Linked DNA regions of Macaca mulatta. The protein of the gene in region 1 interacts with the protein of each later gene in a biochemical or structural test. Links are inferred from orthologs where the notes say so. Each region holds a gene or a part of one and is shown in the gene's direction. Other genes may lie near its edges. The genes, in order: LRRK2, BAG2, CDC42EP3, CUEDC1, LGALS8, NDUFAF7 and ARFGAP1.

Region 1 (4,119 bases):
TGATGACATTAAAAAATACTCAGTGGTCATTCAAAGTGAATTTCCTTTTCAAAACCTTAGTTTATTACTATTTTTTTCCTGGTCTATCTGTGGCATAATGCCCTCCTCCCAGTGATTTGTAAGAACTTTTGAAAGTTAAAGGCAAATTGTGTTTCATCATATGTATTACAACTTTTTTCTTCCAGTTTGCCATTTGACTTCTAGTTTCATTAATGGGTATTTTTTCTTTGACTGCAGAGAATTTAAATTTGATGGAGTCACATACACCAACCTTATGTGATTTCTTTCTTGTTTTTATGTTTTCTTATTCAAGATTATATAACTATTAATTTATATTTTATTTTTGAAGTTATTTTTATTTAACTTTTTAATCTATCTGGAGTTTGTTTTGATGTTTGCTGTAATTAGAAATGCCAGTATTATTTTTTTCTTTTCAGGAAGTTAGCCAAATGTTCTAGCACCATTTTATTCTCCACTGAGCACTGCTTCCATCATAAATTTGTGCCTGTAATCTTCATTTTCAGTCTTGTTAACTACCTGAAGAGTTGATAAATCTTGGAATTTTAGTCAGTCAATTAAACATTTTTGAAACCTAAGAGAATACTTTACCTTAACACTGCAGTAGTTCATGGGAGAATGCTCCCAACAGATAATTCATATTTTCATACTGCCTACTCACAGTCTGGCCAATATAGAGTAGATAATAAATAGGCAATAGATGGATGAATGAATTGTGGAAATTGGAGACATCTTTTTTTTTTTTTTTTTTTTTTTGAGACGGAGTCTCGCTCTGCCGCCCAGGCTGGAGTGCAGTGGCCGGATCTCAGCTCACTGCAAGCTCCGCCTCCCGGGTTCACGCCATTCTCCTGCCTCAGCCTCCCGAGTAGTTAGGACTACAGGCGCCCGCCACCGCGCCCGGCTAGTTTTTTGTATTTTTTAGTAGAGACGGGGTTTCACCGTGTTAGCCAGGATGGTCTGGATCTCCTGACCTGGTGATCCGCCCGTCTCGGCCTCCCAAAGTGCTGGGATTACAGGCTTGAGTCACCGCGCCCGGCCGGAGACATCTTTTAATTTAGATTTATTTTGCTTTGGAAGGGAGGTAGGTTTTAATTTCTTGCAAGGTTGTAATTCAGTAGAATAGGAAGGGAGAAACTAATGCAGAGGAACAGAAGGAATGCATGAGATCGAGAATGCCTAGAAATATTTGAGACATTGATTAAGTCATCAGAAATGGAAACAAGTTTAGAAACAACTTAGAAAAGAATACACTGTAGGTCTGATAAATATTGTTAAGATTAGGATTTTTTTTTTTAAATTATGGAAAATGTTATACAGACAGAATAGTAGAACAGACCACATGAACCCATCTCTTATTATCTTCAACAATTACCAGTTCAAAAATTGTTATTGTTATCTCTGCCTCCACACATTTCATCTTTTCCTCCACCACTGGATGACTTTGAAACACATCCTAACCCTGCTACCATTTCAACTGTAAATATTTCAGCATGTCTCTGTAAAAACTGAAGACTCTACAACAACAAGACATAGACCTAATATCCAGGTTAAGTAGGAATTTGCTATCTTACTAATCTGATGAAAAAACAAAGTCTAGAGCATTTTTATTAAAGTGGTAGAGCATGAAGAACCATCTACCGGGTGTTAGGAGATTTGCCTGAGTTGAAGTCCTGGCTCTCAACTTCCCACCTGTGTGACTCCAGCAAAGCTCTTCACTTCTCTACTCCAAATCTCAATTTCCTCATTAGTGAAAGAAGGATACATAGTAGTAGTTTTATCCATTTCAGACTTGTCATCAGGATTGAAGTAACAGATGTGAAAACAAATCTAAAATTGTGAAGTAGTAACTTCCAGTCCAATCCTCTTCTTTTTAAATAACCTTGAGGACAGACACATCAACTGAAGGATAGATCATCTTTGCCTAGCCTTGTTTACAATGTTCTTGCTAGGTTTCTCTTCCTAAAAACACATTACTTAGGTACTTAACAGAACAAACAATCAAAAAACGAAACCAAAAAACTTTGGGGTTATAGACACCCATACTCATAAGTAATTCTGAATGCCAAGAGAAGAGTATTTCGGTTTGCTTCTCTCACCTTTTCACCTTTCATTTCATGTACCCTGTCCTTTGTCTCAGTTCTAATAGCTCTGAGAGCTGATTACTTTTCCGGTGTCCCACGTATCAGGATCCTGCCTAGTGCAACTCAATTCCAAAAGTTAATTTAGTGGCCTTTTGGTGACCAGAGCTTCAGATAACTCACAGGGAAACAATGTTTATTTCCTCTCCCACTAACAGTCACAACAATAATAAAAAAGACAGTAGCGGGGCAAGTTTTGATGGCTAACCTCTCTCTCCATCCTTTAAGGGGAGAACTCTATAAAGAGAATGTTTTCCTAAAGGGGCCATCTGGGCGGTGTCCTCTTTTTCCCAGCGCCCTGATTTCTATTCTTAGATCTGGAGATAGGCGGCTTTCATTTTTCCTGCTGCCAGTTCCCAGACCTTCCCTGGGGCCGCAGGATCCCCGGCTGGCGGGTCGAGGAGGGTGGCCGGCCGGGCTGCGCACTGCGCGCCTCCGCTGCGGGGCTCCGGGCCTTGGGACTCGGCGGAGTCCGCTGAGTCAGTTTCTTCCTGCGCGACTCCCCGCCGCGCCGCCGCTGTGGTGGAATCTGGTCCCAGGAGGCGGCGTCCGCCCGGGTCCAGTCTAGGCGTGCGTGGGGGCCACGGGCACGGTCATCCCGGCCAGGCCCGGCTCCAGCAGCCCCACGGCCGCCGCCGAAGTTCTGCGCGGCCCGTCGCCCCGGCGGAGCCTCTGGCAGGCCCCTGAGCTGGTTTTTTGGGGCCTGGCTGGGGGAGGAGGAAGCCGAGCAGGAGGGCTCTGGAGAGGGAGGGCAACGCGGGGCGGGGAGCCACCGCCTTCCTCATAAACAGGCGGGCGTGGGCGCCGACGGGGCCCCCGGGGAGCCCTGGCTGAGGGCGGTGAGCTGAGCTAGATCCCGGGGAGCTGTGGCCGGCGCCCCTGCCGGTTCCCTGAGCAGCGGACGTTCGTGCTGGGAGGGCGGCGGGTTGGAAGCAGGGGCCACCATGGCTAGTGGCAGCTGTCAGGGGTGCGAGGAGGACGAGGAAACTCTGAAGAAGTTGATAGTCAGGCTGAACAATGTCCAGGAAGGTAAACAGATAGAAACGCTGGTCCAAATCCTGGAGGATCTGCTGGTGTTCACGTACTCCGAGCACGGTAATCACTTGCGAAGAAACTGTGCTTTTGTTTTTGCAAACTTTCGCCCCCTCCTCACATTTGCAAACTTTGTCCTCCTCCGCTGACGCTGCTCAAACCCGGACTCTTAAAGAGCCGTAAACTCCCATCTCCTTTCCTTAGGGCGGAAAGGAGCTGAGAATTCCAGGAAGGTCTTCACCTTTTTGACTTTTCTCCCCTTTTCAGACTTAAAAGGAAAGGGGGTGCTGTGGATTGTGACTTTGCTTCTTTTCCCCACCCACTTGTTTTCCAGCCTCCAAGTTATTTCAAGGCAAAAATATCCATGTGCCTCTGTTGATCGTCTTGGACTCGTATATGAGAGTCGCGAGTGTGCAGCAGGTAAAGGCATTGTTTTCACTTCAACTCATTCGCCCTTCTGTTTGGAAGGAGACGTTTTACTGGCAGTGTTATATAGCCGGGAGTTCTTGGTTATTCTGGAAATTTGGCTTGAGGAACCTCCGACTGTGATTTTCAGATGGGGACATTGTTAAATATTTTGATCATGTAAAAAGGGATGAAGGGCCCCAGTATGTGTTCCCTGAGTGTCTTTAAGTAGTAACTTTATAAAACCAACAGTATGGGTGGTGGTAGAAGGGGGATAAAAATGGGTTCGGGTTTAGTCCCGTTATTGGCAAGATGAATTAATTACTGTTTAGACCTGACTATTCCAGGAATCTTCCCAATGTAGAACATGTCCTAGATGAGAGGATTATGAGTAGTTTGGAAAAGGGGAATAACTAATAGTGATAAAATGCCACTTTGTCACTGGCAAACTCTTGTAGAGTTCAGCATTTCTTAAAATTCAAAGACAGATTTCTAGCCTTTAGTTTTAGTATACCTTGTAGTATCT
Region 2 (4,159 bases), on another chromosome or scaffold:
TTTTGTTAACATTAAAAGTTGGCCTGGCGCGGTGGCTCAAGCCTGTAATCCCAGTACTTTGGGAGGCCGAGACGGGTGGATCACGAGGTCAGGAGATCGAGACCATCCTGGCTAACACGGTGAAACCCCGTCTCTACTAAAAAATACAAAAAACTAGCCGGGCGTGGTGGCGGGTGCCTGTAGTCCCAGCTACTTGTGAGGCTGAGGCAGGAGAATGGCGTGAACCCGGGAGGCGGAGCTTGCAGTGAGCTGAGATCCGGCCACTGCACTCCAGCCTGGGCCACAGAGCGAGACTCGGTCTCAAAAAAAAAAAAAAAAAAAAAAAAAAAAAAAAAAAAAAAAAAAATTAAAAGTTGAGGACTTCTTAATGCCAATTATTTCACTCAGAATATTTATTTATTTATTTATTTATTTATTTATTTATTTAGACAAGGTCTCGTTCTGTTGCCCAGGCTGGAGTGCAGTGGCGAGATCTCGGCTCACTCAACAGGAATAATTTTAATAGCAAAAATTAAAAACTCCTTCATTAAGTCGGGCGTGGTGGTTCACACCTGTAATCCTTAGAATGATAAAAATGAAGTAAATTCACTTTGTTTCCTACATCTACCTAGATAGGGAAAGATGGAGTAGCTTTTTCTTTTTTACTTAATAGCTTCAGCGTTGTCCGAGCATTCGTTACTCTCATCTTAGTATAAAGTGGTAACAGGAAGGTCAGGTGAGTGTGGGCTGCCTAGGAGCTGCACTTAACTGCCTTCTGTTTCACAAAAGGACCTTTTCTCCCTATATCACAGGACCCTTAATGTCGTTGTTCTTGCTTTGAATTATGGGTGCTGGAAGAAACTAAACGAAGCCATCACTGAGCAATACACCCACAACCCATCGACCGATAGGAACCTTCGTGTGGGGGAAGTTGGTTACTTTTAGGCTGCACGAAGAGGCGGGGCCACGCGGGGCGGAGCTGGGGGTGGTCTGTGGGTCCGGGCGGGCTTCGGGTAGTTCCTGGGTCCGAGGAGCAGACGATCCGCTGGCCACATTAGGCGCTCAGTCTCTGCGTCTGCCCCTCCCCGTGCCTCAGAGACTTGCGCTCCCCAGGCCCGAGCCCCTGTGGCCCGCGAACCTCTTAATTCCAGCCGCTGCAGCCCCCTCCCAGGCCCGGCGTCCCCGAGCCCCGCGGGCGCCGCGCCTGCCCTTCTTTGGCCACGCGGCAGCCGCGGTGTCGGCGAGTCCTCCCGGGTTGCCCCCGCGGGCGTCAGAGGGAGGGCGGGCGCCCGCGTGGTGACGGCGACGCCTGCAGCCCGAGGAGCGCTCCACTCGCCGCCGCCGGAGGGGCCGGTGACCTCTCGGCTGCCCCGCGTCGGAGGCTTAGATGGCTCAGGCGAAGATCAACGCTAAAGCCAACGAGGGGCGCTTCTGCCGCTCCTCCTCCATGGCCGACCGCTCCAGCCGCCTGCTGGAGAGCCTGGACCAGCTGGAGCTCAGGTGAGCCGCGGGCGGGCGGGCGGTCTCGGGCGTTCTGCTCGCCGCGCGGGCGGTTAGCGGACGGAGGCCGCGTGTGGCGGGCCGGGCCCTGGGGCACAGTGAGGCTGCGGCAACAGAAGTTGCTTGTTGAGATTTGTTGTGGATGGACGTGGTGTAGTTTTGTTTATTTCTTGGATTTTCTCCCCTTGTCCAAGAGAAAACGCATTGTAAGCTAAACCTGTGAGGGCGTGATGGTGGCCACACTTTGATTAACTTACCTAGGTGTTGGGGAGCAGGAAAAAGAGGAGATAAAAGTTAAGAGGTGAGATTCCATGCGATTAACGACTGTGGCAGCGTGGGTCTGCAGAGCTTCTAGAACCTTCTGTGTGGCCCCAAATGTTTTTAACTTACTCTTCTCCCGTCATACATTTTTAAGGGAGGCAGCAGTTTACAGTGGCCCTCCACGTGAAGTTAAGTTTCCTTGCTTCAGAACACTAAAAGAGCAAAAATGAATAAAACAAAACCAACCCAGCAATCCATTGAGACCAAAGATTAGAGAGGAGTGAGGGGTAGGCAGTAAGTTACCGGGTGCTTCGTGCAGTAAAGACGTTGCGGCTTCTCTTTATCCCCTGACCTGGCGGACGGGATTCCGCGGTTCCGTTTGTCTCTCAGTATTTATTGGGCACCTCCCTACATAGAAGACGAAGTGTTAGTCACTGGCCTGAAAGTATGAAAAGATAGTTTTCCCTTTTTCTTGCTTAAGATTTTATTAGGTAATATAGTAGTAGACTTGTACAGAATTTCTAAACAATATAATGTTAATAGATTTTTGGAAAGACTTTAACGGTATATTGAAAAGTTTTATCTACTTCCTGTGAACGTTTGTCACAAGTTACTGTGTAAATTTTGTGAGCAACTGTAGTTAAAAGAAAACCTTGTTAGGCACCTGGAATTCCCTGAAACTGTACACAGGAGTTGGTTCCATAGTTTTCTCTAGGTTGTGCATGAGCAAAGAAGCATGTGAGCCAAAAAGTTCAGGAAACACTGCATGTGTGTTTTATCTCCCTCCATTAATACACCCAAATATGAAGTGTCCGTTTGCCGAGAAAATACTTCAAAACCACGGCATCTCTTTTAACAAGTAAGGCATTATTATTGTTACTATTGGGAGAAAAGAGCCAGAGAGTGAGAGATTCTCCGCTCAAAATAATTTCTTGGATGGCAGCAGAGAAACCTAAGCCCTACACGAGGTTCTGGGGTTCCACTCAGAATGAGGCAAGTGGAAGAGAGAAATAATGCTTCCTCATGGATTTTCACAATACTAGCAAACCTGACCCGTTCCACTCCCAGAAAAAGTAAAGCGCAAGTAGAAATTGGTGGCCTCAGTTACTGGAAGTCCCTCTAACTGATGTTTCTTTTTAGGGAGCCGCATAACAAGTAACACACCTCTCTCCATGTCTTCAGAACGTTGAGGGCATGTTCTCAACCACTTCACTCGCTCTCCCCTAGTTAGAAAGAAAAGATTTTTTCCTAAAGGAATGGGGAGGATGTTACTCCACCCCGCCTTCCTTCAAGCTGAGTCATTGTCCTCAAACTTGAATTAATGCCTCACATGTGGTAGGTACAAAAGCCCTCTGAAGTGCTCCTCTTAAAAAGAAAGCCTCAGGTTTTGAATATTATTATATTCTAATGTTTGATTAATGTAAAATGAATTCTGATTACTGCACATCAGTGATTAAATTACAACTTGCTTAATTAACATTTGAGCTGAGGAGAAAAGTGATTAATATGTGGCTGTTCATTTCAAGGACTTTTTTTTAGTAATTCTAGACTTTTGTAGGCCTTTTTTTTCTTTTTAAAAAAGTAATACTAGCTGAAAAGGATTTCCTAAGGTAAGCAAAAATAGAGAAAAATGCTAACATTGATCCTATTAAAGTGTTTTTTTGAAACCACATGGGCAATGGCATAGAACACTACACTATTAAAAACTAGAATCATGCGTACAAGATCGATTTTTAAATGAAAACATGAAACTCATATGTAATTTTGCTCTAATAGTTTGATTTTATGTTAACTAATAAAGTAGTGTAACTGGGTAGAATAAAACCTTACCGTTTGTACTTAGAAGTGTGCACGTAATGTTCCCTAACCACATCATCCTGTCAATTGTGGAAGAAATTTCATACTTCATGACCTGGAGTATGAACTGATCTACATGATTAAAATGTTTGGCAGCAGTTCTACAAACTGTTAAAGGATTTCCATTTATCTCTGATGGAATTTATCAGTACACTAGGCTCTTTTTTTAGACTGCATTTTGTCTTCTGTATTTCTTCCTTCTACAGAGGTGATTCCCTTTTCTCCCTGTTTTTATGATCAATTCTAAATGGAGTCTGAGTTTTGCATTCCTCAGTGGCTCAAACCATCTTGCTTATTGTTACTTTTTAACAATTATTGTAATTTATAAAAAATACTATATTACAACTTTATATATATATATATATATATATATATATATATATATATATAATGTTTTCATCCACAGTTCCTGGCTCATAACTCCCATAACCCTTATGACAGTCTTACGTTATAATGTTGGGGTGCTTTAGGCCTCAGGAAAAAGAATCTCTGTCTGACCTTCTTTCGCCTGCCTTGTTTCTAGTCTGATTGTGGGTCAAAAGACCCTCATTCCAGAGAGGGT
Region 3 (3,987 bases), on another chromosome or scaffold:
TAAATATTTATAAAAATACCTTTTTCTAAGTAGGCCAGCAACATTTAATATTTTTCAATAAATTAATATATAAAATATATACATTAGTGCCAAATGGAACATATAATTTGAAATATGAAACCCAAGTAAAATGCTCAGGAATCTGGAGTAGAATCCAGGTATCTGCCAAAGGAAACTTTGGACGAGTTGTCTTTTGAAGAAGGGAAACAATGCTGGGTCTCTTATCTTCATGGACTGTTTTGCTTGTCAAACTTCTAACATCACTTCAGCCGAGTTTCTTATTTGACTTCCAACCTCATGGCCATTTGACCTGCCAACTATTATTTTTCTTTGAAGCTTTTAACACCCCACCCAAGTATTTTGCTTTCCAGATTGTGTCCGTTTCCTTTTCACTTCACCTTAAAGTCAGCCTGGGTTTACAACATCGGCTTAAGGTGCACCCTCTAGGGTTTCAGACAGACCTAGAGGACCGCGGTGATGACTGAAGCTAGGGACCTCTCGGCAAAGCCAAGGTGCCCGGAAAGTTCTCCGCGTTGTGCCGGGATTTCCATCCAACCTGAGAGTCTCAGGGCAGAGACCAGGCCCCGAGCATCCGACTCCCCGGGGTCCCAGCCCCCTCCCCAGGCTAATCATGCGGGCTGGGACCTCCCAGCCGGAAAAAACCGCCCTTTCCTGTCGCCTACTCCTTCCCCAGGCCGATGACTCGCGGAGGAGGAAAAGACGGAGGCCGATTAAGAAAATTAGCATTCATTAACCCGGTTCACGCTAGTGCCCCGGCGGAGGGGAGGGGTGCGCCAGTCGGCGGCGCTGGCTGTGGCCCGCTGACCGGCGGGCGCAGGTGCCACCACGGGAGGAATTTTACGGTCCCGGGCCGGCAGCTGCGCCACTTGCGCCTCGTCGCGCGTCTGGGGCAGCCGCCACCAGCTTGCTTCAGCTTTAGGCAAATCCTTTTGAAAGACCCTGAGGGAGAGGAAACGCCTCCCTCTGGACAGGAGAACCTGTAGCGTCTGCTGTTCGTCGCTTGTCCAGTTGCTCAGCCCGGAGCTCCGGCATCTCCAGGGCGCGAAGTCCACGCTCCGGGTTTTGGCTGCAGCTCCAAGGGGAGCGAGCTGGAAACTGACAGAACGCGACCCTCCCCCTCCGCGCCCACCAGAGCACTGGCTGCGAGGGACCTGGGGAGCTGCGGCCTGAACGGGGAGGCGCGCTCAGGTGGCCTCGCTTCCCTGCCGGTCACCGCCCGCCACACCGGAACTTCGCACGGCTAGGTCGGCCTGTTGGGATCGGGAGAGGTGGGCGCACGAGGTTTAGTGCGGGAGTCCGGGGTGCGGGCGGAGTCCTATTGTCCCCGTGCACCCGGGCGGCAGCACCTCCGGGTCCCTCTTTAAAACGAGCGTCCGACGACCTTTCTTTGTGCTTAGGGAGTCGAAAGCGGCGTCTTCTCCGAGGGAAGTCGCCTACTGGGGGGTAGCGCTGGAGAGGTAACAATGGGCGCCCGTTGTCCTCCGAGGGTCCAACGGTGAACCCCCCTGCGCGCGCGCCCGGCTGCCGGTTGGCCCCGGGCCAGGGCACAGGTACAGCGGCCGGGAGGGTCGGCCCCGGGGCCCGTGCCCTCCGCCCCGCCCCAGTCCGTCCCCGCGCCGCCGGCCCCGCCCCGCGCCGCCCCGCCCTCCGCAGGTTCAGTCCTCGCGTCCTGCCGCCCAGCTCTCAGTTGCGCGCACCTTCTCTTGCGGCCGAGGGTCCGCAGTGCGGGGTTAGCCCGGAGACCCGGCCACCGGCCTGGGGCGCCTTCACGCTGTCTCGGAGCGGATAATGCGGTGAGCAGGCACCGCGCCGGCAGACTCGGCTGGATCTGCGCACACCGGCCGGGGCTGCGTGCGCCCGCGGGAGGCCCGGGGCAGCGGCTGGGATTCTCAGCGGCGGCCGGTGAGTCTGGGTAATCCAGGGTTCCTTCCTCTCTACCTGTCTGTGAGTCTGTCCCGCCCGCGCCGTGGCCGCTTCCGGCGTGCGCTGGTGTTAGGCTGGGAAACCAGCAGGGAGCCGGGATACCGAGGGCATCGCTTTCACATCTAGTGTCCAACGGACCGAAGGGGACATAAAGCAAGCCAGGAGTGGGGCGGGCGGCATGACCGGGACTCAGAGCTCCACCATTTGTGCCCACCGCTTTTCAGGGTGGGGCAGCGCGGCCCCATTGCTCCCTCCGAGCTATTGACAGAGCCATTCTGGGCGCGTATAGCATTTTTCCATCTGAGAACAAGCCGCACTTGGCTACCGCGCCCCTCGCGTCGTGAATTGGTACCAGGGCCGCACATGGGTGCATCGCACAGCTCTGCCGTGGCATCGCCTGCCCGGTGCCCTCCTCTTTCTTAATGGAGGACATTGTTAGTGGGGCGCCAACCTGGAAATCTGGATATTGACTTTTTTGTTTTTTGACGGTGAACAGCTGAAACGTTTACAAGGTTTTTTGATTGTAGTTTTCCTCCCTTTCTCCTTGAAACCAAGTGGCTTGACACAGACAAGTATCAGACGTGAGGACGAGTGGATCTGGCCAATCGTTTTTTCGTTATGAATTATTATACTCTATCCCCCTCCGACTTTGGGAGGCATGTGTTTCATCTTATAAATAGAAAGTAGCATATTTTTTGGCAGGATCTCCTTTATACTGTGCAGTCTAGGAGAGGTCAGTTTAAAAATAAATATGCACTTGAATGTTACATTACCGAGAGCCAGGCTGTGGCTGGGACAAGCTGCGTGGACAGCAGCATCAAAGCCGGGAGCGCAGCTGTGTTGAAAGGAGTAAAAGCCCCAGAGTGCAGCGCAGGCTGACAGTCAAGTAATTACATTTTGTTTAAAAAAAAAAAAAAAAAAAGTGAGCGAATTAAAATGAGGAATGTCAGGAGGGTATTGCAACATGAATCTTTCCAGCCCTGGCGTCTTTGGAGGAGTGGGCTGCTGGTGTGTGCTGAGGGTATGGGGGGCTCTAGGGAGGGAACTGATGAATGTGTTAGGGAGACAAAGATTCCGTTCCCATCTCCCAGATCTTAGTTCCCACAATATCCCAGAGTTTCTGGGGAGTACTCCCATTTAAAAAGAACAAAAATTAGGAGAGCAGCAGATGTCTGTATTTTAATAGCAAAGCCAGTCTTAGGGACTTCCTCTTAACATCACAGGGAGAAAAAAGACTCGCCAGGAACCAGGGATGATGCCCCAAAGGTATACCTAAGAGAATTTAAACGACTCCTGTAATGTTCTAACTTACACAAGAGCTTTCATCTTAAAACCGGGAAAAATGTACCTTCTCTTCTTTTCTGGACAGTCCCAGAAGTCTATTATTTCATACCCCCTGCAATTTGTGTGAGTTCTTATTGGTAGTTAATAAGCTACACAGGTAGGTGTGTGATGCATACCCTTTTCAGAATAGATTTAGACCCTCAGAAATAAGTTGGAGTAGTTGTGAAATATTTAGCATTTTCATGTATCATGAAATACGTGATAAAGGCCTTTTATATAGTCAAGGAATGGTGGAAAGTTCTTCATAGTCTCCCAAATAATGTGGGTTTCCCAGTGGGCCTCACCCATTGAATAAGACAGCGTCAGCCTCTGAGTTCACAGATAAGAACTTTAGAGGAGAAATTTGGAAGCATTTCTGGATCCATGGCAGTTTCTGTTTTCCAGTGGTATCATCTGCTAGAGATTTACATGATGAAGTCTATGATTAGAACGTGGTGCTGAGGCTGTGGCAGCAGCTACAGGCTTGAAATAAGATGAGCTCCTCTTTCCCTCAATCTGAGCAGTGAAATTGTTTCGCATATCTCTATGGAACAAGTAAAAGCAGCTAGAGTAATGCGTGTTGCACACTTTTTGCTTTTTATTGTACATTTAAGTGTGGTGCAAGATGAGTAATACAAAGCCGTAACAATGATTGCAGAAGGGCTCACGTGAGTTCATTTGCCCTGTCTGCCCTCCAGCCTTTCCTTTAATGTGGTGTTT
Region 4 (3,527 bases), on another chromosome or scaffold:
CAGATGCACCTTCTGAGGTTCTCCCTCCGCTGCTTTCCTGGGTGGCTCCGAGGTGTGGTTAAGTTGGGGGTGGGCACCCGTGTCCCAGATGAAGACCCTGAGACCCCAAGAACGGGTAATACCCCTGGTGAGGGTCCCTCCCTGCTGTAGCCTGGGGTGGTCTGCGAGTCCCTGAGAGATGGGGCTTCCTCACTCCCCATCTCTGGCCTTTGGAGAAAAATGAAGCCTCCAACAGTGGCAGAAGGTGGCAGTGATGTAGAAAAAATTTGGCCTAGGAATGGGAGTCCCGGGTTGTGATGCAAGCTCCTCTCCAGACCATTCCCTCTCCCCTTGTGTCTGTGCAGCCAGAGGGTGGACGAGGCGTGCTGGGGTTCCCTTGGCTCCAGTCTGCAAGAGCTGAGCTCCCACCAGGCACTTAGCAGCTGGTTATCCCGTCTGCTGCCGCCCCCGCCCCTTCCCCTCGCCCCCGCCGCCGGCCACCCGCCCAAAATAGAAAAGGAAAGGAAGTTATTTCCATAGTCAGCTGCAGCCCGGAAAAGCTCCCCTCCAGTGAGGGGGCGGGCGGGATTCCTGGAGCTGGAGACCAAATCAAAGCCAGGCCCGAGAGAGCGAGAGCGGCCCCCACCGCCCGGCCCTCGGCTGCCTTCTCAGTGTGCCGTTTCCCTGACTCAGCGGAACACGTGTCCTGCGGTTGCCACGCTGCAGGCTGCCATGGAGCTGTGGGGAGCTCCTGGCTGGGCTCCGAGCTGCCCTCAGGCCCAGGGCGGTAGGGCGGGAGCCTGGGGGTCAGGGAGGGTGTGTGTGCCACCCCCTCTTCCTCTACTGCCTTGCCCAGCTGTTGGCTCTGCCATGGCACGGAGCTCCTGCCACACACACACCAGGCCTGGAAAGAGTGGTCCCAGAGCACCCTGAGAGGGAGATCCCTTCCACACTCACCTCTCCACACACTTTTCAGAACACTGCTCAGGACATGGCCTCCTGAGGGGCTCCCCAGTACCTGGGCAGGGAGGCAGCAGTTTCTAGCTAAGGAAACCGAACCCGAGAGGGGAACAGGGGCCCACCTAAGACTACCCCGCCGGCTGATGGTTGAGCCAGAACTGGAGCTTGGATCTGCTTTACCCTCTGTACGGATCCTGGCGTCCCCATATGCCCCCTCTTCAGCAAACCAACATGCAGCAGGCTGTGCTGTTGGTGGCTTATGTGTCTGTTCCTTTGGACCATACCTGTCACTCAGCACCGTGAGCCTGGCACTGTGTAGGTGCTAGCATAGAAGCATGAAAGGATACAATCCCTGCTGTCTTTAGGGCACATTTGTAAACATCTATAGCTAAATCCACAGAGTTCCACATGTGCACCATGGACAGACAGCGCTGAAGGTCTAGAGACCTGGGCGGGCATGTGACTGGACAGCATGAATGGCTGGGGAGTTCGCTGAGGCCGGTGGAGACATCTCCAGTGATGACACAAAGTGATGGGCCTTTGTTCTGGGGGCAGTGGAGGCCATGGGAATCTCTGAGCAGGATCTGACCTGCCTGAGGACCTGGTGTGATGGGGCCAGGAGACCTGGGGTTGGGCTTAATGACTCCCTCTTCCCTGTCACCTCCCATCCCCTAGTATCGACGTGCTGAGCTCTGCAGCCCCTACAAGCCAGAGACGCTATCGGAACTGGAACCCACCACTACTGGGCAACCTCCCGGATGACTTTCTCCGCATCCTCCCCCAGCAGCTGGACAGCATACAGGTAACAGGGGCCGCCCCCGCCTTCCACTCCCACCTGCCTGTCCAGCATCTCTCTTTGCCCACACAATTTGTGCCAGCCAGTTTTACTTCCTGATGTTTAAACCCAGGCTGAGCTATTTCTGTTGCCCTGGGTTCGTAGGGAAAGAATGCTGAACTGAAAGCCTCACTTCCTGCCTGGGTCTGGAGGTTTCCTGTTCTATCCAGGGAAGGTGGCAGCCTAAGGAGGCTGTCTGCTGCAGCAGTCACCTCAGGCTGGAGAGAGGCGGGCATGGGGTGGCCAATGGTGGAGGGCCAGAGCACCCCCCTTCCTCCCTCGGGAAAGGGCCAGAGGCAGCTTCTCGATAGATGTTGGCATGCTCCAAGGTGCCCCACAGCGGGGCAGGTCCACCCTGAGGCTGCCGGTGCCGGGAGAGGGTTGAGTTTGGGAATCCACGTATAGGCTGTTCCACAGTTTGCAGATTTCTTTTCAGGACTGTTCAGGTTGTAGATGAAGGTATGAGGTGGTCCGTGGCGTGGAGGAAAAATAGTTTTTAGGCTACTGCTGTGTCCCCTGCAATGAGGGCTCTGACCTGTCCGTTGGATTTTGGCTTGCCACTAGGTTCCATTAGGAGGTGTGAGCCTCAGGTGAGGGCTAGAGGATCTTGGACAGGGCGTGTGTGCAACCAGAGGGATGTGGATGTTTGTGCAACATGTACCCTTGTGTGTACACGTTCAACATGCTCGCCTCCCTCCTCAGGGTAATGCTGGGGGCCCCAAGCCTGGGAGCGGAGACGGAGGTCCACCTGCCATGACTGGGCCAGGGCCCCGAGACCAGGAGAGCCGCTGGAAGCAGTACCTGGAGGATGAGAGGATCGCGCTTTTCCTACAGAACGAGGAGTTCATGAAGGAGCTGCAACGAAACCGCGACTTCCTCCTTGCCCTGGAGAGAGGTGGGCAGTGCCTGCAGCCACTTCTCCCTGGCTGAAGAAGGGAGGTGATGCTGGCTTTAGCCTTGGGGCTCAGGAAAGCACTGAGCTGGGGGCTGAGGGGCCAGGTGCTTTCTGTCCTACTGAGCCTTGACTCCCACCAAGTTATCCCATGGGAGCCTCAGAATTCTGCCTATGGGGACCTGGGTCACTAACCCACCCCTTTCTCCCTCGGGACTCAGAGGAAGAAGGGTGTGCACTCTTAGGCCTTCTTCCCTTTGCACACCTGCTCTGTGCCAGGAACTGGCCTTGGCACAAGGCAGCAGGGAGAAGAGCACTGCCCCTCCTCACAGAGCCCCAGCCCCAAGGCAGGCGTGATGTGTCTGGAGCTCCGGGAACAGAATGACTGGGTTCGTGAACGCCAGGGTTGGGGAGGCTCTTGAGTGGAAGACCTTAGAGCAGGGGCTCTGGAACTTTGCAGGTATTTGGGTTGTCTCTGGGTTGGAGACCCTGCTCCCCAGCCTGGCTACCTTTCCCCTGCAGGGTGGGAGTGCGTTTGGGATAGAGGAAATGAGAGGGCGGTGGAGCTCTGTCCCTGTGATGGCCACAGCGTGAGAGCTTGTGTGTGTAACTGATGGTGTGTTGGTGGGGGAGGAGCAAGTTGTGCAGGGAGAAGGCTGGGCTGAGGCCCAAGGTTAGCCCCAGCTCTGCAGCAAAGGTGCTGGAAGGCTCAAGGCCTTTCCGTTTATTATTTATTTATTTATTTTTTTGAGACAGAGTCTCCCTCTTGTCGCCCAGGTTGAAATGCAGTGGCTCAATCTCGGCTCACTGCAATCTCCGCCTCCCAGGTTCAAGTGTTTCTCCTGCCTCAGCCTTTCAAGT
Region 5 (3,527 bases), on another chromosome or scaffold:
TTCCTGATCAGTTGGATCCTGGAACTTTGATTGTAATACGTGGGCATGTTCCTAGTGATGCAGACAGGTAAAATCATTGTGCTGAAGGAAGGAGCATGAATAAGCTGTGTTTTTGTGATTGTGGAACGATAACAAAGAGTAATGTGGGAGAGACCATTTGATACTTTGAGGCCTAATTTGCTTTCGTCAGCATCCCTGGCCAAGGTGCTGAGGAGCGTGGAATGAATGACTAAATAAAGGTTATTGGGATTTATTTCATTGCTGTAAGTCTGATTTCAGTATAAAAAATTAGAACTATCAGCTGGATGTGGTGACTTACACATGCTTTTCCAGCACTTTGGGAGGCCAAGGCGGGAGGACTGTTAGAGGCCAGGAGTTTGAGACCAGCCTGGGCAACATAGTGAGACCCTCCCATCTGTTAAAAAAAAAAATTTTTTTTTAAAAATTAACTGGGCATAGTGGTGTGCGCCTGTAGTTCCAGCTACTCAGGGGGCTGAGGTAGGAGGATCACTTGATCCCAGGAGTTTGAGGTTGCAGTGAGCTGTGATCAAGCCACTGCACTCCAGACTGGGTGACAAAAAAAAAAAGAAAAAGAAAAAGAAAAAAAGAATTAGGTATGTCATTAAAGAAAGGAATTGTGGTCAGATGACAGGGATAGTCTAGTTGTAGTCTGACATTCCCACAGCATCACAGAAGATCCAGTTCAGATGGTTTTACTGAATACTTGCTTTGGATGCAAGCTGTGGTATCGTTAGTGTTGGGCTTGGCTCTGTGTACCTAACACCTGAAGAGCAGTGGTTTAAGTGAGATGTGAAAATTAAGTCTCAAGGAGACAGCCCAGGCCTTTCAGTCAACTCCTTCAAGTCGTTAGAGAAGGAGACTCCTTCCAGCTCACCACTCTGCTATCTTGAGGGTGAGGTGAGGTCCCTTTTCCCGTTATCCTTGGCAGCTAGATTTCCAGCCCTCACCTCTGTGCTTTGGGTAGCTGGATGGGTGCACATGGTGTTTGCGGGGAAGCAGAGATGAACAAAAGGCAAGTGCTTGCTGACTTTGAAGGCAGTTTCCAGTAGTCTTCCCTGAGCCCTTCACTTCCATCTTATCAGCAGAGCTTTAGCTGCACAGGCAGGCCTAGCTGCAAGGAAGGCTGGGAAAGGTAGGTTTTTATTCTGGGCAGATTCAGACCCATTTCAAACTCGGGGGCTGTGTTACTGAGGAAGACAGAGAAGAAGATTAGGCAGCCAGCTCTTTCGGCCTCATAGTGAATGAACGAGGAGGGATCCGTCAGTCCGGTCACTGGGCCTGGAGTGTAGTGCCTGCTGGGCCGTTCACGGGAGCTTTCCTTTCTGAGCACTCTTGGGGCCCCTGTGTCTTCCCTCATAGATTCCAGGTGGATCTGCAGTATGGCAGCAGCGTGAAACCTCGCGCCGACGTGGCCTTTCATTTCAATCCTCGTTTCAAAAGGGCCGGCTGCATTGTTTGCAATACTTTGATAAAAGAAAAATGGGGACGGGAAGAGATCACCTATGACACGCCTTTCAAAAGAGAGAAGTCTTTTGAGATCGTGATTATGGTGCTGAAGGACAAATTCCAGGTAGGTTTTGGAGAGGACCAGGTTGAGTCCTCATGAGCGAGCGGGACTGCACAGGGGCGCTTTTCACGTTTGTGAGCCCGGCCTTCTATTTCCTACACCTGAGACATGGTTTGTTTGGCTTTGTAGTTTTTCTCCATAAAAGGACCAGGAAGGCACCTAAATGTGAGGTGTGGCACCACTACTCTCCAGCCAGTTGTTGCCGTGCAGAAATATGGTCCATTGTGACCAGATCTTTTTATTAGATCCTGTTTCTCCTAGCAGGGCTGAGTTCTGAATTGACACAGTATTATGTTAATGATGGGAGGGTAAGTTATAATATAACCGCCACCATCCGAAGAGCTAACAAGGGCAATCCTAGCATAGAAATCAGAAGGGTTTTATAAATTCAAGTCTTGCCACAAGATAGTTCTGTAGGATCGAGAGTTTAGATCCAGAGGAGATCCTAGAAATCCTTGATGTCACTTCCATCTCTGGCTTCATGGAGTGTCTTATACCTAGCGTGTATGTGTACGGTTGAATTTGGTCCTAGAGGCTCTTACACCGGCTGGCACTCCGGCCTGTGGAGCTTTCCCAGGGTAGAGGTTTGTACCAGTGTGAGAACAGACCCACATGTCTTTGGCACAGATCCTTTCTGATCTTTAGGATACCGCTCCCGCCCAAAAATCTTTCTGAATCTCCCAAACTCCATTCACCTCTCCCTTCTCTGGCCTTTCCAGCCGTGTCTGTATCATTCTTTTTAACCATTTTTTAACAGTTGTGCTTTGGCTTGATGTGTTTATTTTGCCCCCACAATGGGATTTGAAGCTCCTTGAGTCAGAGACTGTATTGTATGCTGCTTGCGTTTTCTGCCTATAACCTAACCTGGTACCTGGCATTTGAGAGGGAGGGAGGAGGAGCAACGTAGAGTGCTGAGGACCTGCGGAAGCTACTTTCTCGTCATCTTGCTACTGTAGTCTGTTGAGGTAGAGATTGTTCCTACTTCAGAATATGAAAACCGAATCTTAAAAATATGTTGAGTAACTTGTCCATATTAGTTTTATTTAGCAAAGTCAACAGATTTTGATCTTTAACCTGGGTGCACGACCTCCAGGGCACCTGTGCCTGGGCTTCCAGGAGACCTTCGAACCCAGATGTCTCACATGTGTGCAGAGGCTCACAGAGGCACACGCACCTGGATTTGTGACTGCGTGTTTGTCTGGGGAGAGACAGTTCCTGGTGCTTAATCAGATCAGGAACTCGAAGTTCAGAAGCACTGCTAGTGTTTTGGGTGCTTTTGGTTACAGTGTGGTCAGATGTGTGTGGAGACCTGTGGGAAAGGGTATAAAATTGGATGCAAGGAAACATTTGGATAAGAAGTTAATTTATTAACTTCTTTTTTTGGGGGGGGTTGTCTTCTGTATCTTCCTAGGTGGCTGTAAATGGAAAACATACTCTGCTCTATGGCCACAGGATCGGCACAGAGAAAATAGACACTCTGGGCATTTATGGCAAAGTGAATATTCACTCCATTGGTTTTAGATTCAGCTCGGTGAGTGACCTGCCACAGCTTGGGGTCTTTTATGAGGATGGTTTTTGATGAGATGGTAGAAAAAGTCTTCAAATAACACTTCTATTGACATAAAAAGGACGGCTCTCCCTGATTGCAGTATTAATTTTTTGGAAGTGAACTATTCACACTAGCAGAAGGGTTTTTATCAGCCAGCGCTTCATTGTCTGTAGGATCTCAAATCTCGTGTGGTTTTAGCAAAACACACATTGTTTTTAGCTGGGTAGTGGCTATTGCCTTTGCATGGGTGTAAAATGGACTATTTCCATAAGAGAGTTTCCTAGACTGGGAGTGTCTGAGTCAAAGAGCACAGTCATGTGTTGCATAAGGACAGTTCAATGATGAACTGCACATACAACAGTGGTCCCATAAGCTTGTCATACTGTATTT
Region 6 (4,322 bases), on another chromosome or scaffold:
ATTAAGACAGACAAAATGATTTATGCAGCCATATCAATAACACAGAACTTCATGCACTGATATAGAAGGATTTCTAAGAGAGAAAAGAGAGCAAAATATAGATAGGTGTATATATATGGTACTATTCATGTAAAAAATAATAGACGCGTATTTCATACCCATAAATATGTATATGCTTGAAAAGGTATACAGTATCCCTGAAAGATATAAACTACACTTGTAAAAATAATTGCTTCCTATCAGGGCAATTGTTACGGCTGAGATAAAAGTGGAAAAAATTGGACTTTTCACTACGTATCTTTAAAGTTTGTATCACGTGTATCATGTGTATATATTACTTATTCAAAACTTAAATATACACAAGCACAGAGCAAAACTGTGAATCTACTTATCTCTAACCAACTCCTCCACCCTGAAAGTCCAGTCTCCAAACAAAATAATATTAAAAACAAAGTTAATTTCTGTCCCTTATCTGCTTAAAATCTTCCAGTGGTTTTGCATCAAACTCAGAGCAAAAGCCTGCCCTCTTACCCCTTGGACCTCATTTCTTACCATTCTCCCCTTACCTCACTCTGCCTCTGCTACATTGGCATTTTGGCTGCTCATGGAATAGGTCAGGCACTCTTCTGCCTGTCTTTGCATTTTCTGTTCCAACCAGAATGGCACATGGCTCACTCCTTCCTCTCCTTTAGGATTCTGCTCAAACATCTCCGTGATGTGTTTGTCGATCATCTCATTTAATACTAACGCGCTCCCACTCCTTATCGTCCTTTCGCACTACCCCGTGTCTGCTGTACTATGTATTTAAAAGTTTGTTTACTGTTTCTGTCCCTTAATTAGGATGTTCCAAAAAAGAGGGCTTCTGGGGCATACAGTGACACGTGCACGTACTCCACGAGAACAGAAATGAAAATTCCAATACCACTGGTGTTCAAAATACTCATACCACAAGGTCGGGACCAAGAAAAGCTACTCTCCGACCTGATGGTGTGATGGTTATACCACGTTAATAAAATGAGAGGATCGCCTACATCCTAAGAAAGGCCAGAGAATACGACGTTCAACTGGAAACTTTTCTTTTGTAAACAGCCCTGGAAACCAGCGTGGGAAGCTCACAGAACACATGCTTCCGAGGCTGGGATCTGGGATCTGGGTCCTGGACGCCCGCGCTCTACGCAGCGCGGAAGCGGCGGGGCAGTCAGCCTAGCGACATTAGGGACTGCCCACGTCTGACCCCTTTCCCCGGAGCCCGCGGCAGTTACCTTGGTGCCTCCGAGCCGTAACACTTCCTCCAGGGAGAACCCATTCTCGGTTTCATTAGCATCATCCTCGTCGTCCTCGTCCGGATCTTCTACTGCCTCCTCGGGGCGCCAAGGCCGCTTGGCGTGGAACTCCAAAGGCTCCTTGGCTGCCGCCATGGCTAGCAGAGCATACGCTCTTGGAACTCAGCCTATTTCCGCTCTGCCCGTGACGTAATTCCGGCCGGGGGGTTGGGGCGTCTTCTCCCGGAAATAGCCTAAGCCTCAGCTCCTGGCGGAGAGAGCCGGCCTGCGAATTTCAGCATGACTGTTCTGGTGAGGTCAGGTGTGGGGCCGCTGTGTGCCGTGGCGCGTGCAGGTAAGCGTCAGTCCCCTCGAAGCCCTGTTGCCTTGGAAACCGCGTGGGGTGCCTTCCTCAGCTCTTCAGTTGAGGTACCGGGGAATTAAGGGCTCAGGGGCTCACTTCCACCTTGAAGGTGCCCTGGGCTGGAAACGGGTCCGGCGCAAACGCGATAGGGCTGCGTAGTCGTGGGCAAGTGCGTGCTGTCTCTGCGCCCCGGGGGCGTGCAAAGCACAGTAGCCCGAGGTCTGCGGTAGGGTGAGGTTAAGGGTTTACGAAGCTGCTTTGAAAACGCTCAGGCGGCTTGCGTTCGTGAATGTTAAGATTTATCACGGGGTTTGTTTGATTTGTGTTTTTCACAGCCATTCCTTCTATTTGGAGAGGGAAATACTTCAGCTCCGGGAATGAACCTGCAGAAAACAACCCGGTGACGCCGATGCTGCGGCATCTTATGTACAAAATAAAGTCTACTGGTCCCATCACTGTGGCCGAGTACATGAAGGAGGTGTTGACTAATCCAGCCAAGGTATGGTCGGGTAGCCCGAGGACTAGGCCCTCTCTAGCCGATTTGCGAGGTGCGAGCCAGGAGGGAGAAGCCCGAAGGTCCTCAGCCCAGGCAGTGGGGGTGCCTGCCAGGGGAAGAGCCATTTCTGAGGACCTGGGGACAGATAATCTGTCAGTTGGGCAGGGCTGGCTCACATCAGAGGCAGGGCCAATAAACAGGAGAGGACACGGTCCAAGGGTGTTTAGGAGACAGAATGTAGCTGATTGGATTTATGATGCGGGAAGGATGACTTTCCTACTTGGCTGATGGTAGGTGGTGTGGATTATTGCTCTGGGAGAAGGAATGTAGGAGGAAGGATGGAGAGTTCAGGCTGGTATATGAATCTGAAGTGTTGTAGGACTCTAAGGTGGAAATCTCCAACAGGCATCTGGAAATAGGAATTACTGCCTGAAAAGTTGCCTTGTTGGAGTGGCCTCAGCTGGCACTGGAGAGATGTGCTGGGTTTTCTCACATGTGCAGTTGAGAATGCAGTCTGGGTCTGCACTGTTCTAAGATTAGGCACAGTCACAGCTTTCTGACCCACGTTTCCTTGTCTGTTCTATAGAGCCATTTGGTGAAAGCCTGTAGTCCTTTATTTTAGAATATTTCACCTTTTGCTGGGTTGAAATATGACCTCTGTGGAATTCTGGGGTTGATTTGGCCATTGCTGTTGGATATGGTGGCGTGACTCCAGTGTCGAGGTTTACCCAAGGCCGGTATCTTTCTTTCAATGCTGGTGGGCAAGGCTGCAAGATAGGTGGCTTAGACTAGTGTGGTGGTACTAGAAATAGAAGAGGGTGGTTTAGAAAAGGACTGACAGGATTTGCCGATGGATTGAGTGATGCAACGGAGGAATCAAGGCTGATTCGTAGTTTTGGCTTGAGCAGTTAGGTGGTGACGGCACCTTTTATTGAGATTAAGACAGACAGGACCGGGTTTGGAGGAGTGCTGGGGAGAGGGCCTACACCAGGAGCTGCATTTTATACATATTTTGTTAGCAATGACATCCAGGTGGAGATAGAAAGTAGGCAATTGGCTGTAAGAGTCTGGCGTTCAGGGCCGGACATGGTGGCTCACGCCTGTAATCCCAGCACTTTGGGAGGCCAAGGCGGGTGGATCACGAGGTCAGGAGTTTGAGACCAGCCTGACCAACATGGTGAAACCCCCTCTCTACTAAAAATACAAAAATTATTGGGTGTGGTGGCGGGTGCCTGTAATCCCCGCTAGTCAGGAGGCAGGGGAATCACTTGAACCCAGGAGCAGAGGTTGCCGTGAGCCGACATCACGCCATTGCACTCCAGCCTGGGCAACAGAGTGAGACTCTGTCTCAAAAAAAGAAGAAAACAAAAAAAGAGCCTGGAGTTCAGAAGAAAGACTGGGCAGGCATATATACATTTGCTCATCATCAGCATGTAGGTGATATTGAAAGCCAAGGAACCAAGGAGAATGTACTGAGAGAAAGGAAGGTTTCCCAGCATTGAGACTTGGGGTAACTCTAAAATTTAGAGGCTCTTAACCTAGGAACCCTTTAATAGAAATCAGGGGTTTCATGAACCTGGATGGAAAAAAATTACACCTTTATTTTCACTAACTTTCAACTGAAATTTAGCATTTCTTCAATTATGAACATACGCAGCAACCAGTAGCATCAGCAATACTTGTGAATTTGTCGTCTGTGGAAATCATTGGTATTTCCTTATCACAATACAGTGATCACAGGCATCTCAGAATTTCATCATGCTCATCCTTACTTCAAAATTTTGTTAATTATTGGGTCTTTCGCTTGATTATGGGCTTTTTTGTTTGTTTGCTTTTTGAGATAGAGTCTCATTCTGTCACCCAGGCTGGAGTGCAGTAGTGCGATCTCGGCTCACTGCAGCCTCTGCCTACCAGTTTCAAAGGATTCTTGTGCCTCAGCCTCCCGAGTAGCTGGGATTACAGGTGTATGCTTCCATGCCCAGCTAGGTTTTTTGTATTTTCAGTGGAGATGGGGTTTTGCCTTGTCGGCCAGGCTGGTCTTGAACTCCTGGCCTCATGTGATCCGCCTGTCTCGGCCTCCCAAAATGCTGGAATTACAGGTGTGAGCCACTGTGCCCGGCCTGATTATGTTTTTTTAAATACGCTAGTAAAGAAGTGTATATATCACATTTTTAAAAACATTTGATACACATTTTTCAGA
Region 7 (4,055 bases), on another chromosome or scaffold:
CTACACAAAGACCTTTCAAGATAGCTTTACTCATACTAGCCAAAACTGACACGACCCCAGTGTCCAAAGTGTGAATAAATGAAGGAAGTGGCGTGTTTCCCATGGCACACTGCTCGGCAATAAAAAGGAACCAGTTACGGGTACGTGCAATGTGGCTGAATCTCTGAGACATCACGTTAAAGGAAAGCCATCACGAAGGTATATTTTGCACAGCTCTATTTGTGTGATATTCCAGAAGAGACAAAACTAAGATATGGCGATATTGGAATCAGAAGAGTGGCTGCCTCTGATGGAAATGTTCTATAATTGACTATGGTAGACATTACGTGGGGGTATGCATTTGTCAAAACTCATTGAACTGCACGTTTTGCAGTGTGTAGCTTATACCTCAATAAAAATGTTTATTCTCCATCATTTCGAAAGTCAACCAGATCAATGAGGAACACATAGAATGCACAGAAAAAAACAAAGTAAAAACAAAACAAAAAATTACGTGCAACTAACCTCCCACAGGTGATCACTTTTTCAGCTGTGTACCTTCCTAGTGCAGACCATTGCACACCTGCACCCTGGGGCATCTGCGTGGCAGGGGTGGGGGCCTGCGGACCCTCTTAACCCCGCCGCCTCCCACCAGGGCCCAAAGGCTCGGGTGGTGGAAGAGAGACTCAGACCCCAGGGCGGGAGCACGGGCCCCAGGACGCAACCCTCCATCCCCGCGCCGGTCCCCCGCTGCCCACTGCCCGTGACCCTCGCCTCCCTGCCTGTCACCCGCTGCCCCGGTCCTCCTACCCGAGTCCCCCTGCCGGTCCCCAGCTGTCCTGGCCCCTCTGCCCCCGCCCCGTAGACCTCGCCCCTCTGCCCGTCCTCCATGGCCCCCGGTCCTCCTACCCCCGTCCCCTTGCCGGGCGGTTCCAGCCCCGCAGCTCCCCCCCAGGCCCCCACTCGCCCCGCCCCCGTTGTCGGCCCCCGGTGAACGCGCCGTCCCAGAAGCACCTCAGTTTGGTTCCACGGATGCACGGACGCTTCTCCCGCCCGGCCCCCAAATGCTGCTGTCCTCCGCGGCCACCGCGATCAGGGGCGGTCCGGGACCTGGGGTGGGAGTTGGACGTTGCGGCTACGCGTCTCCATGGCGACCGGGCGAGTGCGCGCCTGGGGGGCTGGGGCCTGAGGCGGAAGTCCCGCCCCTGCCGGCTCCCATGAGACCTTGCAAAGCGCAACGTAGCCGGAAGCTGGTGGCGGCTGGTGGGCGACCGGGCGCATCCCCGTTGCAGTGCGGCGGTCCGAACCCGGCCCTGGCCTGACCCCGGCGGCCCTGCCCGCCTCTGCCGACAGGTAAGCGCGCGGCTCGGCGGCCCGGGCTCGGCCTGAGGCCTCGGCTGCCGCGGCGTCGTCCCCGGCCTTCGCGGGCGGACTCCCCGCCGCAGCCTCCCCCGCCCGGACCCCGCTCCACCCCGAGGCTGATGCCCCAGAGCTTGGGGGCGCCCACCCCGACCTCCCCCAGTCCCCTCGGCGCTGGACGGCGGGGCCCTTCTCGCGCGGACGCCCTGCTGCAGCCGCCCCTCCGCCGTGCCGCCCCCCGCCCCTCGTGCCCCTTCCCTCCGAAGCTGCTCTCCACCCGCACCCCGGATCTGGAATTTCCCACCGGTTACGGGAGTCCGGAGGGTCCTGCCCACCCACGTCGCCTCCCGGGGCGCGAGCAGGACCCTGCCCCGTCTCCTTCAACACCCTCTTCCCGAGCTCCTTCGGACACAGGACTCGGCCTGGACACATCCCAGTCAGGTGGCCTCTGAAGCCCGGTGGAGCTTCCCCCTGCTAAGAAGTGAGGGTCCTGCCCAGCAGGTGTTGGTGAGCCCAGTCTCATCAGAAATGGCAGCCTCAGCTCGCTTGGTTTTCCTCCTTACCCTTTGACGTGGATGACTGTCTTGAGGGAGAAAAAGAAACCAGGAAGGGGCTTTTAAAACTTCTCAGTTTATGTGTGTTTAGAAGAACTGTGCTTCTTGCCTGTTCTTTTAAACAGTTTTAATTACAGCCCACCAATTCTGAGAAGTAATTCTGCTCATTTTTTGCAGGTCTAATATTCCTGCCATGCTCTGCTGATTATAGCACCAAAGTTCGGCTGTAAAGTGGCCCAGGGAATTGAAGCCCTTAGCTTTGTTTTGGCGTCCCTTTCTGGGACCATGTCCTTGTCAAAGTTCAGAAGTAATCCGTGCTTTAGCGAAAGGGCTCTTCTTCTTAGACATGGGTAGTTGAGGCGCTTCAGACAGTTTCTGGGAACGACTGCTAGTATTTCTGCCGGTCGCTGTGTTACAGCCCTAGGGTCTAAACAGTGTTCTTAAATATCCCTTTTGATCTCACATACTGAGAATGTTCCAACTTATGGATCCTGAGTTTTGAAGTCTCCGGAGCTTACCGAACTAACACAGAGTGTCCTCACTGGGTTTGACGTTTGCTGAAGTCACATCCACTTGCAGAAGGAGGTATATTTTTGCATCTTGGTTTCAAGTGTTAAGAGTTTTGGATTATTTTTCTTTTTTTTTTTTTTTTTTTTTTTTTGGAGACGGAGTCTCGCTCTGCCGCCCAGGCTGGAGTGCAGTGGCCGGATCTCAGCTCACTGCAAGCTCCGCCTCCCGGGTTTACGCCATTCTCCTGCCTCAGCCTCCCCAGTAGCTGGGACTACAGGCGCCCGCCACCTCGCCCGGCTAGTTTTTTTTTTGTATTTTTTAGTAGAGACGGGGTTTCACCATGTTAGCCAGGATGGTCTCGATCTCCCGACCTCGTGATCCGCCCGTCTCGGCCTCCCAAAGTGCTGGGATTACAGGCTTGAGCCACCGCGCCTGGCCAGGATTATTTTTCAAGATAAACTATATTTGTGCTTTGAAGGTTAGGAGGTATTTGCTTTCGTGTTATTAACTTTAACATTTCAGGGAACTAGGGCTCTTGAATATCCACAATGAGTCACCTAGAGGAGTTCCTTTTAAATCCAAGCTGAGTCCTTTCCTTTTTGCACGTTTTCTTCCTCCGGTGGTTCTGCGAGTATCCTGTATGTTTTACAGTTAGAAATTCAAGCCATCTCCTCATGGTTCTGACTTTTGTTTGCTTGTGTCTGTTGACCAAGACATAAGCTCCTGAGGGCAGGCATGGTGCTGTGGAAAGAGTGCAGGACTGAGTGTGGAGACCTGGATTGGTCTCGTCCTGCTTTGGCGGCTCACCGCCTCTCCGTGGGCCGTGGCTTCTGCGTGTGCAGTAGTTCTGCCAGGGCCGTCGGCGGCTGCTGTACAAGAATGTGTCCCGAGGACCCTGTAAGCTCAGCCTCGCTCCCCGCCTGCCAGGGCATCTCTCCACACAGGTTCTCCCTCTTCCGTCCTCAGTCGGCTGTACTGGTGGATGCTCAGTTTGATGACGGTATCCGCCTGAATGAGTCATGCTGGGGTCCGAGTCTTGCGATCAGGAGTGAGCATTCACTGCCTCATGATCTGTGGTTCCCGGACACTCTCACACAAGGCACAGAGAATTATGGAGCAGAAGGGAGCCCAGGGTGAACTTTGGTTTTGTTTTTATGAACTGCAGAAAACAGGTGTTTATTTCCTGACTTTGAATGGGTTTAAAGTGGGCACTGGTCAATATTAGGAGTCATGGGCTTCAGAATTCAGAAACTTTGGCTGTGTGGAGTTGGGACTCCCCCAGTGAATACCTTGTTTCTGGATACTTAAGATTAGAAATGAAATATAGGACAGAGGGTTTTTTTTTTTAATTTTTAATTTTTTTAAAGCTTCACCTCAACGTAAAGTTCCACCTACAACGTTAGTGGGAAAGCTGGTCGACACGGTCTCCTCCTAAACACAGTGAAGGAGGGGAGGGCTGGTGCTGGGAAGGTCCCATGGCTTACAGAGTTCTGCGTGTTCTCCGTGTAGTGAGAGGTAGAGGGAACAGCACACGGCTGCATTCGTATTGAGAGGTGGGTGAGCCTCAGAAAAACAGTGCACTGAGGCGTGGGCTGGTGGGGATCCAGGTCTGCTGCCTCCAGGCTGGACTGTCTTCTACAGTTTGCTCGGTGC

Evidence for each region.
Region 2: the proteins of LRRK2 (region 1) and BAG2 form a complex in vitro, tested with the Homo sapiens proteins (2 studies listed by BioGRID and IntAct, with this or other methods). The link is inferred for Macaca mulatta from reciprocal best matches to the Homo sapiens genes LRRK2 and BAG2.
Region 3: the proteins of LRRK2 (region 1) and CDC42EP3 interact on a protein array, tested with the Homo sapiens proteins (2 studies listed by BioGRID and IntAct, with this or other methods). The link is inferred for Macaca mulatta from reciprocal best matches to the Homo sapiens genes LRRK2 and CDC42EP3.
Region 4: the proteins of LRRK2 (region 1) and CUEDC1 form a complex in vitro, tested with the Homo sapiens proteins (2 studies listed by BioGRID and IntAct, with this or other methods). The link is inferred for Macaca mulatta from reciprocal best matches to the Homo sapiens genes LRRK2 and CUEDC1.
Region 5: the proteins of LRRK2 (region 1) and LGALS8 form a complex in vitro, tested with the Homo sapiens proteins (2 studies listed by BioGRID and IntAct, with this or other methods). The link is inferred for Macaca mulatta from reciprocal best matches to the Homo sapiens genes LRRK2 and LGALS8.
Region 6: the proteins of LRRK2 (region 1) and NDUFAF7 form a complex in vitro, tested with the Homo sapiens proteins (2 studies listed by BioGRID and IntAct, with this or other methods). The link is inferred for Macaca mulatta from reciprocal best matches to the Homo sapiens genes LRRK2 and NDUFAF7.
Region 7: of the proteins of LRRK2 (region 1) and ARFGAP1, one has a biochemical effect on the other in vitro, tested with the Homo sapiens proteins (3 studies listed by BioGRID and IntAct, with this or other methods). The link is inferred for Macaca mulatta from reciprocal best matches to the Homo sapiens genes LRRK2 and ARFGAP1.

The regions. Positions count from the first base shown.
Region 1 is NC_133416.1:47,100,419-47,104,537, forward strand, and holds the start of LRRK2 (leucine-rich repeat serine/threonine-protein kinase 2), read left to right. Parts: upstream 1-1,292; 5' UTR 1,293-3,100; coding exon 3,101-3,251; intron 3,252-3,522; coding exon 3,523-3,608; intron 3,609-4,119. UniProt on the Homo sapiens protein: Serine/threonine-protein kinase which phosphorylates a broad range of proteins involved in multiple processes such as neuronal plasticity, innate immunity, autophagy, and vesicle trafficking.
Region 2 is NC_133409.1:125,116,954-125,121,112, reverse strand, and holds the start of BAG2 (BAG family molecular chaperone regulator 2), read left to right. Parts: upstream 1-1,332; 5' UTR 1,333-1,366; coding exon 1,367-1,479; intron 1,480-4,159. UniProt on the Homo sapiens protein: Co-chaperone for HSP70 and HSC70 chaperone proteins. Acts as a nucleotide-exchange factor (NEF) promoting the release of ADP from the HSP70 and HSC70 proteins thereby triggering client/substrate protein release.
Region 3 is NC_133418.1:87,264,452-87,268,438, forward strand, and holds the start of CDC42EP3 (cdc42 effector protein 3), read left to right. Parts: upstream 1-1,184; 5' UTR 1,185-1,923; intron 1,924-3,987.
Region 4 is NC_133421.1:52,116,459-52,119,985, forward strand, and holds part of CUEDC1 (CUE domain-containing protein 1), read left to right. Parts: intron 1-1,614; coding exon 1,615-1,741; intron 1,742-2,476; coding exon 2,477-2,669; intron 2,670-3,527.
Region 5 is NC_133406.1:12,546,181-12,549,707, reverse strand, and holds part of LGALS8 (galectin-8), read left to right. Parts: coding exon 1-67; intron 68-1,380; coding exon 1,381-1,591; intron 1,592-2,999; coding exon 3,000-3,119; intron 3,120-3,527.
Region 6 is NC_133418.1:87,707,635-87,711,956, reverse strand, and holds the start of NDUFAF7 (protein arginine methyltransferase NDUFAF7, mitochondrial), read left to right. Parts: upstream 1-1,518; 5' UTR 1,519-1,562; coding exon 1,563-1,617; intron 1,618-1,961; coding exon 1,962-2,125; intron 2,126-4,322. Other genes in the region: CEBPZ (CCAAT/enhancer-binding protein zeta), read right to left, coding at 1,263-1,418. UniProt on the Homo sapiens protein: Arginine methyltransferase involved in the assembly or stability of mitochondrial NADH:ubiquinone oxidoreductase complex (complex I).
Region 7 is NC_133415.1:116,130,651-116,134,705, forward strand, and holds the start of ARFGAP1 (ADP-ribosylation factor GTPase-activating protein 1), read left to right. Parts: upstream 1-1,234; 5' UTR 1,235-1,332; exon of another isoform or gene 1,333-2,477; intron 2,478-4,055. UniProt on the Homo sapiens protein: GTPase-activating protein (GAP) for the ADP ribosylation factor 1 (ARF1). Involved in membrane trafficking and /or vesicle transport.